2 linked regions of the Struthio camelus genome follow. The protein of the gene in region 1 interacts with the protein of each later gene in a pairwise test. Links are inferred from orthologs where the notes say so. Each region holds a gene or a part of one and is shown in the gene's direction. Other genes may lie near its edges.

The links.
Region 2: the proteins of NEIL2 (region 1) and MEOX1 interact in binary tests that used the Homo sapiens proteins (3 or more experiments, as listed by UniProt). The two-hybrid records come from large-scale screens. The link is inferred for Struthio camelus from reciprocal best matches to the Homo sapiens genes NEIL2 and MEOX1.

Annotation. Positions count from the first base shown.
Region 1 is NC_090944.1:11,160,111-11,167,307, forward strand, and holds the start of NEIL2 (endonuclease 8-like 2), read left to right. Parts: upstream 1-3,949; 5' UTR 3,950-3,951; coding exon 3,952-4,221; intron 4,222-7,197. UniProt on the Homo sapiens protein: Involved in base excision repair of DNA damaged by oxidation or by mutagenic agents. Has DNA glycosylase activity towards 5-hydroxyuracil and other oxidized derivatives of cytosine with a preference for mismatched double-stranded DNA (DNA bubbles).
Region 2 is NC_090966.1:8,141,013-8,148,619, reverse strand, and holds the start of MEOX1 (homeobox protein MOX-1), read left to right. Parts: upstream 1-4,389; 5' UTR 4,390-4,769; coding exon 4,770-5,220; intron 5,221-7,607. UniProt on the Homo sapiens protein: Mesodermal transcription factor that plays a key role in somitogenesis and is specifically required for sclerotome development. Required for maintenance of the sclerotome polarity and formation of the cranio-cervical joints.

The DNA of each region.
Region 1 (7,197 bases):
GAGTATGGAACCACGAAGTGAAAATCTAGAGGAGGGATTGTGCGTCCCCCTGAAATGTGTTGACGTATATAAGGTGCTCTGTCTCTTGCTATTGAACATTTCCAGAAAGCATGTTCCCAACCAAATACCAAGGTACATGGCTTGGGGAGGAGGAAAGCCACACACACGACTGAAGCAAGAGAATGACACTGTATTATCTTTGTTTGAGCTCTCCCTTTTTCCCCTGATGGTAGAGATGCTTCTTTAAGGAGAAGCATTCAACTGGTCTGGCAGAGGCTGGGTCTATAGGGAGTGGAGTCACAGTGGAGGCTTGGACCCCTCCACGTTCTCTCTGCTCTGAGTAGTAACTCAGACTCACAGGGTTTTGGAGGGGTGACAATGTCTCTGTGCTTCCCAGAGGAGAAGAGCATGGCAGTGCTGCCATGGGACTGCAGGACAGTGTTTACGCCTTGAGGGTGTTCTGGTGGGCTTCCCTGTAGGAAACCTTATCCCGACATTGACAAGGAGTGACCTTCACTGGCTCATAGGAGTGGAATCCAAGTTCTAGGAGGCTTTTCAATCCCTCACTGCTAAGATGTCCACAGAGTTTCTGCTCTGTCTTGCTGAGACTAAGGCAGGATCGAGCCTCATTAGTGTGCTTATTACAGATAAGGAAGAGGTAGCCTATAAAATATGAATAAAATGTTATACTGAAATCCTGTGATGCTACTGGCAGGCCACTGAGAAGAGGCCAGGATAGTCTGTTGACTTACGTGAGCCTTGTATCTGGCCCTTGGAGACTTAAGTATGAGTACGAATAAAGGGAAGATAATGAAAAGAGACTCAGTTCAGAAAAGTTACAAGTTCAAACACCTGGGGAGAAATAACACCGAAGAATATGAATTTGAGGTGAGGACATAAAGGCTTTTCTCTCCAGGTGCGCTGGTTTTTAGCCAGCCTCCTGCTTCAACTATAGTCCTTAGTATCTGGCAATTGAGCTCTCTAGGGATCTGGCTGTGAATTCCTATCTGTGACAGAGAAGCACACCTGCCCCTAGATGCCACTTGGCTAATGCCCACATTTTGGGATACCTGAAACCACTGTGGGCAATCTGAGAGGGAGGGAAGAAGATAGCCTCAAGGAGAGGAGCTAAGATCCAGACCAAACACATGTAGCGTCTGTGTTCTCTTTCCATGCTGATGATGCCAGCTGCTCTGTCTACCTTGCCCTATTACTGCGCTCCTCCTACTTTCCTCAAAGCCAAATGCCGTGGCAGAAATTCTCTCCTGCCCTTAACACACACTCTGAGGTGCCATAAAGGAATCTTCTTGAAATGCAAGAGGAGAAAACCCCCACAGGACATAAGCCTGGCAGTTGCCTGGCTCATGCCCCCTCAGGTTATCTAGACAGCCATGGCAGAGCTTTATTAACCGGTTCTCACCTTCCTCAAAGACTTAAAAATGGTTCTTGGAAAACAGTGAGGAGCATTTACAAGGACCCTGATAACAAGACAGATATCTGCTTTGAAAAGGTGGGCCTCCGGGGCTGTAAGGACAGTCGGGTTTTCCTGAGTGATAGAAACAAGCTCTTTTGTCCCTCCTTTTCCACTGCATACAGCAGAAGCTCAGATACTCCAGATTCTGCCATTCTTTTCATTCACTCAAAACTGTTGTAGAGCTACTGTTGATCCAGGACCTTCGGCCACGCTCTGGCTAATACCGATATTAAGACGGTGAGAGACAGAACTCAGATGGAGTACCATTGTGCTAGGTACTATACAAACACACTGTAGTAGATGGTCCTGTCCTAGAGAGCTCATAGTCACAGAATTAAAGAGTAATGTGATTTGGAAGGGACTAGATCAGGTTGTTCAGAGCCTGATCAGTCAAGTTTTGAATATCTCCAAGGATGGAAATCCCACAGCCTCTGCAGGTTCCTATTCCAGTGTTTGACCACCCTCATGGCAGAAGTATTTTCCCAGATAAATGTTAGACACTGGCAAAAGGCAAAACTATTAAGAAATTAATTGCCTCAGACTGGGGACTCCCAAGTAATGAGCCCTCATTGCAGGAGGCTGAATATCGACTGCAAACCCAGGAGTCACATGGAGCCCCTTCTGCAGGTAGGAGCTGGAATGACCAACACGGGATGAGAAATACTAGAAGTGACAGATCTGGGGATACTCAGAGGACATATTATAAAGTGAGGGGATTAGAGTGCTACCATTTTCAGTGGATTCAGTTCATTCTAGCAAGAGGGTTCCCTTACAAAATTTAGGGTTACATTTGAGCACTTCTTTCCTTCAAATGATGGGGGAGCTGTTCAGAACCTGAGGCTTTGCTCATGCAATTAGATGCAATTATTAAAGACTCTTTGGGGCAAGATTATTACTGCTGTTGCTACTACTGTTACTGTAATAATTTATTTCCTTGCATTGTGGCTGGAGGTCCTAGTGAGGACCATACCGAGCCAGGTCCTATACAAATACAGAACTGAAAATCATCCCTGCCCTGAGGACTAAGAGGGAAGGGCCCAGTCCTACACAACACTTAAGCTCATATATAAATGTCCTTGAGAGAGTTTTTCCCTTAGAGGTCACCATTAATCACACATGTAAATGTTGATGCCTAAGGATTTTCAGCACAAGGCTTGACTGCGCAAATAGTCGAATGAGACCTTTGCTACAGACCAGTGGTCACCAGTGTGAGATAGGTAGATGAGAATCAGGATGGGGAGCCAGAGAGGTAGAAAGGTCATTTACCATTTCTAAATGTCTTTCCTCTTTGCAAAAGTGCAATATCTTGAATCGCTTCAGTTCTTTTTTTATATAAATTGATCAGAAGAGTTCCGTATTTCACTTGCAATCTTATGGGCTGATTGGACCCTCTCCAATCAGGAGGAGCTCAGGAATATTGTAAGGGAGCTTTAATACCGATCAACATTTCTTACTATAACTCTGAAGCTGTGACTATGTCAGGAGTAGTGTTTTGTTTTGTTTTGTTTTATTTTCATGTATAAAATTTGAAGCTTCCCAGATCAGCTGGGAAGGTCCCACAGAAACACTTATTTGTAAGGGGGAAGGGGGAAAACAACCAACCAACTGAACAAGCTGTAATTATTTAAAGATGTAAAAAAATATATATTACAAAGTAGTATGGCTACCAATCCACATAACTTCTACACCTTTAGAACTAATGGAAATAAAATAATAATAAAACTAGATGGCTTCTGCCTGACTCTGACTGAGCTGGTGGGCTTCTTGGGGTAGGTTAATGGTAAATGAACACATATTCAGTGCACAGAGTTGAAAGGAGGAGCCGGTGTGTTTTCATGCAGCAGGTAATTCCACTAATACAGCAGCAAGAGGAAAAGCTCCTCGCAGTGCCTTAATACCATTGTGTCTTATCTTTTTGCAATTCTCACTAACATAGTTTTGCTTGATGCACTGTTGATGTAGCCTAATTGCTTCCAGCTGAACTCCAAGACGCCACCCCCGAGCCAAAACCGCATTGCCAGCAAGGGCTGCCTTGAGCCACTTCTGCTTTCTGCAGGAGCGCAACGCTCGTACAAGCACCCAAGCTCCCCCCTAAGGTGCTCGGCCTCTTTCCCAGTTCGACCACTCCTTGAGCCCTTGGTGCAACTGGGCTCGAAACCCTGCCCGTTGCTCCCCTGCTATGGGTGGGGGGATGTCTCCTTCCCCTGTAAGAGCAGGTGGGGCGGCTGAGGGTTTTGGGTGCAGAACACGGCATGGCAGAGTTGGGTGTAGGAGGGGGGCTGGAGGATGAGGAGCCGGTGATGCGAGGCAGTTGGGGGTGCTGGAAGAGGGGTTAGGTACAAAGATGGGAAGGGCTCCGAAGCATGCAGGAGAAGCTGGGGCAATAAATTGCAGGGGAGGAGCAGGGCTGCCCCCTCCTCTATGTGCGTGCATATAGGAAGGGGGGTGGGCTGGGGCTGGCTGCAGGGGTTTGGGGGATGCCTGCTTTGGAAGCTCCGCAGCGGGCGTATAAGCCCCCCCCTGCTCCGTGCTCCCCGGTGCCAGCCCGCTGCCCTGCGGCCGGGGGCAGCGCGGGGCTCGATTGCTTTGGAGAGCTGCAACTCGGCGCTCGACTGAGGGGTCCTGGGAAGTGGATACAATTTGGGAGGGGGCGGGGGGGGGAAACTGGCAGGGTCCCACCGCCCCCTCCATTCCCCCCGCCCGGTGCGTGTCGGCAGCGGGTGCTGCAGGGGCTCGAGGACCCCTCGGTAGGTAACAGCAGGGACTCGGAGCAGACTGGGAAGAACATGCCTTTCGTAGGGTGTTTCTTCCCCTGAGGGGGTAGGGAGAGGAGCTGGGGTGGGTGGGGAGTAGAGCTGCCCAACTGCTAATTGCAATTAGCCCTTGCCTAATTGCACGTGGAGGGGGTCCGGGCTGCGTGTTTACATCGCCGCGGGAGCGTCGCGCCGGGTTGTGAAGCTCTCCTGGGGCGCAGGTGGTCCGGCTTTGCCCTCTCTCTGCTGATCCCCATCGCTCTGGGGTGTGGGACCGGCGCTGCTCCAAGCAGGTGAGCTGGCGGCTCAGGGCATGGGTTAAAGCTGGGCTGAGGTGGAGGAACCCAGCAGCCTGGTAGTTTATTATCCCCTGTAGAAGCTGGCTCGATGAGAGAGCGATACCGGTTTTGTGGGATGCTTGTGCGGAGGGTTTGTGCGGAGTGTGAGCATGTCCCAGTGGAGTGCAGATGCTTGGCTTTGACTGCAGGGACTGAAGGAGCCCAACCAAAATGAATGTATATGTGGGAAGGGTTTCTTCTGGAAGCCTGGTGGCTGTGGTGGTGCCAGCTTGGGGTTGGAGACCAACTGTAGTCTATGCCTTGGAATAGAAACAGGCAATAGTAATAGGAGATAACAGCTCTGAGGGTTTCCCCCATCTCCTGGTGGGGCCACCAGGGTTTTTTTTTTTTTTTTTAGTTTTTGTGGGTCTTTTGTTTGTTTTGATTCTCCCATCTAGAGGGCTTGATTGCTAAGAAGACTATAGAAATGCTGTGGGGCAGCCTCCTGTTGCTGCTGCACGTGGCTGGTCCCAGCGGGCTGGATTTGTAGCCCAAGAGGCTAGCAAAGACAGGCTTGAGGGTACAGTGGTGGTCCCTTTAGGGAGAAGGAGTGATTTGCCCTGCAGAGCGCTGGGAGCTGTGATCCTCCTTGGAGGAGGGAGACAGCTCTTTTAGAAGAGACTGAAGTGGCCGTGAGTGAAAAGATGAACTCGGGAGATACTTCCAGCTAGTCCATGGAGAGATGAGGGGGGACCAGGGAAAATAGATACTGTTCTTTCTGAAGCCATGGGGTAAAGGGTAGGGCCTCTCACTAGAGAGCTAAGAGCATTACGCTTCTGGCCAAACTGGCTGCAGTTGGGTGAACGTGTGCATGTGTGCATTAAGACCTTAGGAAGTGCTAAGCACTTGCATCCTCTGAGGACCAGCCCTCTGTGAACTGAATGAGAGGCAATCAGAGCTGTGCAGCTCTGCAGGTAATGTGGGAGTCTGAACTCTGAGCTGCATGAGCTGTCCTGGGGCTCACTTTGTGCCCCCTAATATTACGTGGGTGCCAGAATAGTCCAGGAGGAAGGCCCAGAAGGCCTGGGATGTAGGTAGACCTCTTGGTTGATCCCAGGGATCCAGGTTGCTGATGGCACTTTTGACAGCAGAAATACCTCTTTGGATGACTCTTGATCTGTTACTGGCTGAACTAAAGTCTGAACCCAACATGTCTCTAATCTGAAGCTCAGAATAGAGAAATGTGTCTCTGTGGTCTGGGAAGGCTTGAGACATCTTCCTAGAATAATGTATGGTAGCAAAACGAAGGCTTTGGAGCCTTTGAAAATGCAGCGTATGTGGGTGAAACTGGAATAGGCCTATATATAACTATCCCATGACCTGGGCAGTACAGGAATAAAGCTTGGTCTTTTACTTCCATTGAGCCTTTTCCAGCTTATATGAAACAAGTAATATTAGTTGCTCCTATCTTGGATCCTGGTAATGTTTGTTCCCTGGTGTGCTTTCCTGCTGGAGCTCTTGGCAGGTCTGTGACTGCTGTGTGTGGCAGCACAGGAAGGTTTTTACAGCTGTGCTGTCTTGTCTGCCCCTGTTGCAGGTATGTCCACACCTCACTGGTGTTCGTAGTGCTGTGTTCTAATTGGAATGGAGGTTGCTGGTTGCTTAAATGTCTCTGCTGAGAGCTTCAGTGAACAAAGATGTCCCTTTGTTGTGGCAAAGGGCGGCTTGGAGAGGTGAGGCAGCAGCAGGTAGTGCTGAAGGCTCAGGTTTTACGGTTACTCTGTGCTGATGGGCCGTTCCTGGCCTGCTGCCTCTTTTCCCTGTTCTTTCTTTGGCGTGAGTGTTTCTGTAGCAGTTCAGGGATCAGCGTCTGGGAGCTGCTGTATCTGAGTTAGCCCAGCCAGCAGAAAAGATGAGATGCTAGCATGAGGTAGGAATGTGTCTTCTGGTAGAAGCCTCTGCATAGGGTAGCTTGACATGAAGGTGAACAGCAGTCTCAGAGCCGTGCCAGGTAGCTTGGAGCCTTGTACTGAGCACTGTGGAGTCTGCAGCAGAGCTGGTGGTCAGTGCTGGGTTTCTGGGATCAATCTTCTTGTGGAATTGCCACTGCAGGGTGAAAGCCAAAGCATATTCTTCACACCCTGGAGCGTGCTGTCTTGTGTACCTGGTCCTGGCAGATCTCTTCAAAAGAACTGCAAGTAACATGTCTGGGATCTTGGGCCAGAAATAACACCTTTGTACTGGTATAACTCCTGTAAGTGAGCTACAGGGTGTTGTGGAATGGCACTACTTTGTCTGCCATTCTTGCCAGAGACTGCTGACCCTAGATGTCGCTGGCAGAGCGTACAAATGCTCTGTAATCTGCCTCATGCTGTTAGAGTCAGTGGCACTGTAGCAAGCAGCTGAAGAAGCAAGGAGGATGAGCTAACTCCAGGGCTAATCATGGAGCAGCGCTTTCCTTGGTGGTGCGGCTATATCAGGAAGATGATGGTTGACTGCGGCCTGAGTTGGTTCAGGTTTAGTAACATCTCTATAAGGTTGTGTTCCCACATTATTCTGGGACATTAAGGCTGTGAACGATGATTTGGAGTCATATGAGCTCTTGTTTCTGGTGAGGAGAGTTTCTGAACAGTCTAATTGAAGAGCCTTTCCAACTGGTGGAGAAGCTTCCTTTGGAAAGGACTTCTGGAGG
Region 2 (7,607 bases), on another chromosome or scaffold:
TCCACCCAGGGGAGCATGCAATAGTCCCTGCTTGGCGCAAGTGGATCTTCATTTCCAGCACTGCAACGCAGAGAGAGATCAGAGCACCACAGTCATGATGGAGCGGCTATGGTGGCTGACTCTGAAGAAAGATTAAAAGCCTAAAGTACATCATCTGGCTTGTGCCTAAGACGACTTATCATAAATGCGACAAAATTTTAAGATCTGCTTGAATAATTGCTCTCCATCTGTGTGTGTAGTGCCTGTGGGCAGTAACTCAGAGTAACAAGATGGAGTCAAAAGTAGTAAGAACTGAGTCTAGATGCTAGGGAAGAATGAAGAATTGTCTTCCCCAAAAGGAAACTGGGACACTTATTCAGGTCTGCACAACATACCAGAAAACGTCTAGCAGAGAGCATGGGGAGACCAAGTTACCAAATAAACTTCCTCCATCTTCAATTTCTGCAACTCAAGCTGCAGCTTCCTGAAGTTAGTAAGAAAACAATTGGCTGTTTTTTGGGGTTTTTTTTCTCTCCAACTTTCTTCCATGAGTGCTAAAATGAGCAACAACATTAACAACAAGAACTCTTCCATGTACATGGAATTCCCCAAGCTCAGTCAGCACCCACATGGAGGAAAACTTTCCCACTTCCTTCAACTGCAAACATGGCAGGGGAGTTGTTTAGGGTTATTTTTTAATGTTTGGATGTGGGTTTTTTTGTTTTTTTTGTTTTTTTTTAAAATGAAGAGAGCTATTAACTCACAATTTAGTCGCTAATAAAATTTCAGAATAACCTTCCCTGTCTAGAGTTTTCTCCATGCTAAGCTTATAAATTGTTCTTAAGACTTCTGATGAGATAAATCTCTCGTCTGCCTTTCTCTGTTGCTAAGCTAAAACTTTGTCTTGCAATCAAAACCGCTTTTTAGAAATCGCTTTAAGAAATCGCTTTGAATTTCAAGTGCAAAAGCTCCAGACCCCATTGCACTAGGTCAGGTGCTGCAAACGCACTGTGGGACCAGGCTTCCTGCTCCAGAGAGCTCCCGTAGGCCAAGATACAACACAAGAGTGGAGGTAATTTGGAAGAGGGCTACATTTGTGTGGCATGAGATGGTTCGGGTCTTATTAAGAAACAGAAAATTGCTTCACTAGAAAAAGGAGATGAAGACCTGGCACAGCTTCCTTCTCGTTTTACCTCACAAAGCTGTGCAAATAGCTGGGCAAGCTCTGAGGGCGCACCGGATCGGAGAGGCTTCTCAGCCTGTGGGATGGCAGAGGAATGCTTTCTTGGGGATGTCATGGTCCAAATTCACAGAAAGTTTGGAGACAAATCCCCACTTTCCAGGCTCCAAAAATCAGCATTTATTATAAAAAGCCGTCTCCATCCTTTCTGCCCAAGCGCAATGCTCGACTGAAGAGATGTTGACTTTAGGAAGGTTAAAGGTGGCTGCCTCATCTAACAAATGGGTTTTAGCAAGAGGGGAAGATTGTTGTTTTTTCTCCTTTCAGGAATGAAGTGTCAGGAAGATGTAGAGGGCAAACAGGCCCCTGCTGAGCAGCTGAATGACAGCCCCAGCTGCAGAGGGTGCTGGAGCAATGCAGAATCCACAGTTCTCACATCTGGGAAGTAACACGCCAGCTCCCTTTCCCACGTCTGAAGTTAGCGGAACAACAGTGACAGCTCCATTGGGAAAACGGGGTCCAAGTTGTTCAACTCGGAGTGCCAAGTGATGTGCAGAAGTTGCGTCATGCCCTATGCAGAGACCCCCTTGCTCAGGCCTCCTGTGGGTTCCTGAATGCAAACCTAAACCTGCTCCTGGCTGGACTGAACCCTACTAGGTCAACAGGTAGTCCTCCATACCCTTCTACTCCCCCAAATATTCATGCATGTGTATAACTGGTATTAATGGCAGCATAATTAGCTAGATCCTTGTATAGACTGAAAGTAGAGCTGAGAACCAGCAGATCTAGGCTTGACTCCACACAACCCCCATAACCTGTGAGACTTGAGTGGGCATTATACATGCGATGACACACGCAGAGAAGGAAGGGGAAACACTCTGCAGCTGCAAAAAGCTTCTGGGTTCTGACTTGGTTCTGCAAGCGCTCAGAACTGTTGCCAGCTTTCACAAATTCATCATAACCTAGCCTTTCAGACAAAGGGCAATCTGAAACCGAATCTGAAAGGGCAACTCTACTGTCAGGGAGTTGGAAACACGTTGTCATTTTTATTCTCCACTACAACGCAGCAGTAGCTTCCATTAGCATGGAAACCTCTTCCTAGAGAATGCATCAGATATCAGATGTTTAGTATTTTGCAAGAGAGCTATGAATCACATGAAAATAAGACAGAATTTTGATGTTCCCGTTCAGAAAGGTCAGCACTAAATCCATTTGATTTCCTGGAGAAGACCAAGCTCTAAGACTCAACAGATATCAAGGTAAGTACACTTCCCCCTGCCGGGATTACTTGAGAGGATATAATTCAGAAGTATACAGAGCCAAGCAAAAGACCCAAAGCACCACGTAAGCCCCTGGGGAGAAATGAGGCTCCAAGTCAGTGTAGGAAACCTCTTTGTGTCTATGAGGAAACATGAAACCCTGCACAAGCAGCAGGAAGGGAAGGGAAGGAAGCTCCCTCCGCTCTGCTCTCAGGCTTGGTTCGTTCCTAGTCTACATCACCCACAATCCAAGGTGCAGCCTCGCTATTTCCCCAGAAACTGTAAATATGTATCTCACCAACTCTTTATTGCTTTTTAAACTCATGTAGAAGATGATGGAATTCCCATAAAAATTCCAGAGTCATTTCATCAAGACTTTGATGCTTACTAGCAAGGACAACAGAGGAAGCGGCCTTGTTTCCTTGTTCCAAAGACATTTTCTGAATCGAGCTGATATCGTTCTGTTTTGTGAAAATATTTTATGGGGTACAACCTCCAGCTCTGCACATCGGGGGGGGGGGGGGAAGGAGGGAGCAAGAAATCTGCCTTCCATGTGCTGAAAGCACCATCTAGCTAAGAAAAGAAACTTTAACACACTTTCAAAAGGAAGAAGCAGCTTTCCAGTACTAGAGTTGATTAGCCCTGCCATTCCTCTGCAATCACACTGCAAAAGCTGGTTTTCCAAACTGAACTTTCACTTGCTATGTTGTTTTCTCAACAAAATACAGTGTGGGCTCCCTGGACAGAAGGAAATAAACATTACCTCTTAGGAAATGATGCTTCTGCAGAAAGAAAAAACACCTGGCAGGCAAGTTGCAGCATTCACCTGGTTGTCTGTTCCAGATTGCCTAGAGGCATCAGAAACAGCCCCCAGCTGAGTCTCCCAACCCTCTGCTGCAGACCCTGCTAGTTCTCCCACCACATCCTCAAGTCCTGAAAGCTGTGGGACAAAAGCAATCACCCAAACAGGACAGCAAGACAAGATTATGGCTATCTTTGACAAGCAGCCCAATCAGAACAGCAGAATTCTGTTAATTCTCTCACAAGTGTTATTTAAAAACATCATTCTTTTCACAGTTTCAGTTAAGTGACTTCACAATATAGCAAGGTGTAGAGGAATAAGCACTGAAAAGGGCTGCAAGCAGACTATAGAAACAGGGAAGACGTGCATTTGTGCATCGATAAATTGTCGATGAAAGCAGGGACAACCACCTTGAAAGAAACAGTTGTCCTGCTAGCACAGCCCTTGAGCAGGGCATTCGGGCGTCCCCAGCTGCCACCCTCCGCAGAAACGGAATCACAGGCAGATTCCCTATTAATATCAGTATCTTTCCAACTGTGATGGCTCCAAGGTTTAAGAACCCGCTTTCTGTTAAGAAAAGCTATACAACTCTCAACAAGAGATGAAAACCATGTCTCCTACTGGCATGAAAGCAGGCAATCTCTTCACAGGAAGGAGTGGTGGCATATTGAGAATTCCCCGGAAAGTAGGATACAGAAAGGATAGATGCCATTGGCAGCAAACTCCAACTATCAGCAAATTCAGCTTCACTGCAAAAACTAACAAAAACAGACACCCAAAACCTCATGCATGTGTGTCAACCAGTTCTCGTATTTTTTTTTTTTAAAAACTTACAATTGGGCCTTAGAATCAAATATAATCTGTTAACTCCTCTCTTGCTTTTATTTCCCACTTTAGTCCTTGGAATTTGTTATCTGCTGAATTCTATATCTGGTTTAGGGCTTTTTCCAAATCCAAGACTTGGGGAATTTTGTTAACAGTGCAATAAAAACAGCTTCACAGTGTTACACGGAAACATTAAAGCCTTTTTTGTGTGTGCTGCCCTTTCCCTTTTCAAAAAAACACAGACAATGTTTCTTTAAAAGTCTCCATCTGCAAATCCCATTAGATGTGCATATAAGGTTTCGGATGATTAATAGTTGCCTGCTTTGCTTTGGTTGGAGGGACTCAGTGCATGTAGGTTAACTCCTCCCTCCCCTTGCTCACATTTCACTTCACAAACTTGTTACTCTCTCCTCAGCACAGTATTTAAAGTTTCACCCATGTTCAGCACCTCACTAGGAACAAAACTTCAGGCCTTGGGAAACGCTCCAGGGCAATCCCTGCACAGATCTGGTTACTGTTCTCCAGTCAGGACAATGAAGATGTTTAGAGGAATTCCCAAAGTAACAAATTTGCAACAGCATAAAACTCACAAGCAAACTGCTTTTTAGAGAGAAATTCTATTTCTAATTCCTGTAAAAGTCAGACATTTTCCCCCTCTGCTCCCACTCTGGTTTTGAAGCCTGAGCCACAACCACCGAAGCACAGGCAGCGGCAGCGCAAGCAAATGGATCCCACCATCAGCAGCTGCATGCGAAGCCCGCGACCTCCTGCCCTGCTCTGGGGCTCCCTCCGGAGCGCCCGGGCAGACAGCACCGCAGTGGCAGGGCTGAGCCACTACCCACCAGCACCGTTCCCCTTCCACCAAAAGCCGGACTTTGCTCCTTACTCTGATTTTGCAGCCTCCTGCCTGGCGACAGCTCCCCACAGCTTCCCGCAGGAGGAGCAGGCGCTGGCGCAGCAGCCTCTCGCTTTCCAGCGCCCTGACTGGCACCTGGCAGCCACCGAGGCCAGAGGACGCCTGCAGCCGGGACCAGCTTTAGGTTCTGGGGAACCAGAAGGCAGCAGCCCAAATCTGGTGGGGGCTGCGCTGGGCATGAATGCGGACTATGAGCTACCAGGAAACACTTCAACTGAGACTGAGAAAAAGCCGTCCAAAAGGAAAAAGGAAAACTCAGGTAGGTAATAAAAAAAAAAAAATCAGGGATGTGGGATAGTCCAGGCTGTAGAATGGGAGCACCTATAAGGTTAGGAATTAAGAAATAAAGCCTATGAAGAAAACATTTTATAATTCTTGACTAGGGAAACTTATACAATACCAAAACTAAATTGTTTCTTCTTTGATGATCTCCCATGTTTGTACTTCGCTTCTGCAAATCTCTAACTGAACCAGTCATTTCCCTCGCCAGCACAACGCAAATTCGCTGCAACCAAAATCGCAAGGCGTGTACACACGGCGCTCAGGGTGCTAGGGCATGCAGGCAGATATTGCTTACCTGCCTTTCGTCTAAGCGCAAGGGAACGGAGTCAAGGAGGAAAGACCCCTCGTCTTGAGCTGCCTGTGCTTGTTGGGAGTGTGACAGTAGGGTTCTGATGTCTCAGTTTATGGTCAGAAGTCCAAGATGCAAAGTCTCCCTTTCCAGATAAATTCTACTTGGCCTCATTAGATGTTAAATGCTTTTATTTCAAAACAGGAGAGACTGAAAGCCTGCCCATAAGCACAATGCCCAACAATAAGGAAAACTATGTAAATTTTCATTGTGTCATCCTAACTGGCAAAACTCGCTCTTTCTGCAGCGTTCAGATATATAACAACCTCTTATCTAGATACGTGAAACACATTAGTTTCCTCTGAAGGAAGCTGCTGAAAGTTAAGATGTCTATACATATTGATTTGCTATTGTGCTCATTTACAAGCTACAGCATGCTTTTCCCCACAGCACCATTACGAGGCTGAGAACATTTTCCAGTATCCCCATTTTACAGGTGCAGAACCAAGACAAAGAGATAAAATTTTTCTGAAGTTTTGCAGGTTGGCTACAGAAGAGGCACTAATCCTAATCTCACTTCTCCATCCTGCAGTGTGAACATGCTTGGGTTCACAGGCTCTCTGCCGCACTTTTCTTTCCTATCTCGTCTCTCTTCTAATGTGGCACAGGTCATTTGGGACACATGTGAAATAGCTGGTATCTGAGCCTCTTTGTGCCCCAAAGGCTAGTTTACTACCCTCGGTGCTGTGTTTTTCTTTAGAAACCCAGCTTTGTAGTATTTAAGGCCTTCTCTATTCAAAAAGTATTTTTTGGGCAACCATTTCTCAAAAAACTCAAACGCAAACAAGTTTTTCTTTTTCTTTTTTCTAGGGAACAATGCTTTTATCAAAACATCTATTAGTCAAAGGTTAAGCAGCAGATTTCAGTGCACTCAGGGTAGGGAATATCCTTATTCTTAAAGGGACTGAGGGGATTGCACACACCCCTGTTTTTAAGTAGAAGACAAATGCTCCTTCTGCTCTTTGTTACCAGCAGCTTTGACATTTTCTCTTCACACTTACTGCTGTCCCACATGCTTATCCTTCTGGGGAGCCATAAGCAACATCACCGCAACGTAGCCTTTCCTACCTGCCAGCAGCGGTTGCTGGCCACACAACCTGCAACTCTAGGAAAAGGCAGAAATGACGAAAACATCCCAAAGGTGATTATGCTGCATCTCGTTTCACCCCCTTCTTTGCTCCTCACATAGCAGAATTATTTGCAATCCCTCCTGCAACCTTCCCTGCTCTCCCCAGACAAAATAAAGTGAGTGGGGGAATGCCTATCAACATTTTACTGCTCCTTCCTGAGCTTTTGCTGCAGTTCTGGCAGCGTGTCTGGGCACACTCCAATTGCGTTAGAAGGGGGACACGTGTCCTCTCTCTCCTTTGGGGAATTTTCCTGGACTTCAGAAAAATCTAGGTGCCCAGAGCCCTCTCTTCAGAGATTAGTAGGCTAATAAAAGAATGAAATCACCTGAAGACTAACACTACAAAATAAAATCATTTTTCTTGCTTGGTGCTTTACCAGCTTCCATCTTATTGAACTTTAGTATAACCACAGCATTGCAATGATTTGTTTTGGTGTGAAACCCTTCAGTTCTCACCAAGAGCTAATTATTACAAGATATGCAGAGAAGATCTTAGAATATGGCTCTTTGCAGAGTATTCTGAGAAAAGTCTAAAATAAGTATATTTCTCAGACAAATAAAACAGAACAATGTAAAAATAATTTAAAAAGTTTGTCCATCTTAAAAATGTTCTTTGAAGCTTTGATCTATTCAAAATATTCATAAAACTTCTTTGTTTTGGTAGTAACAGTAGCATTTCCTAGCAGTATCGATGTACAGATGTGCAGGCAACCCTCCCTTCCTCTACAGGCGATACTGTAGAGGAATCCTTTAGGGGCAATACTCAGTCTTGACTTCACAGGCTCACAGATGACCTGACAATTGAAGTGAGCCTAGTTTTGGTTTTCACAGCTGCTTCTGCACTCTTCCCCCAAGTCACAGCCATTAAAGTTTTCAAAGGTTTTTT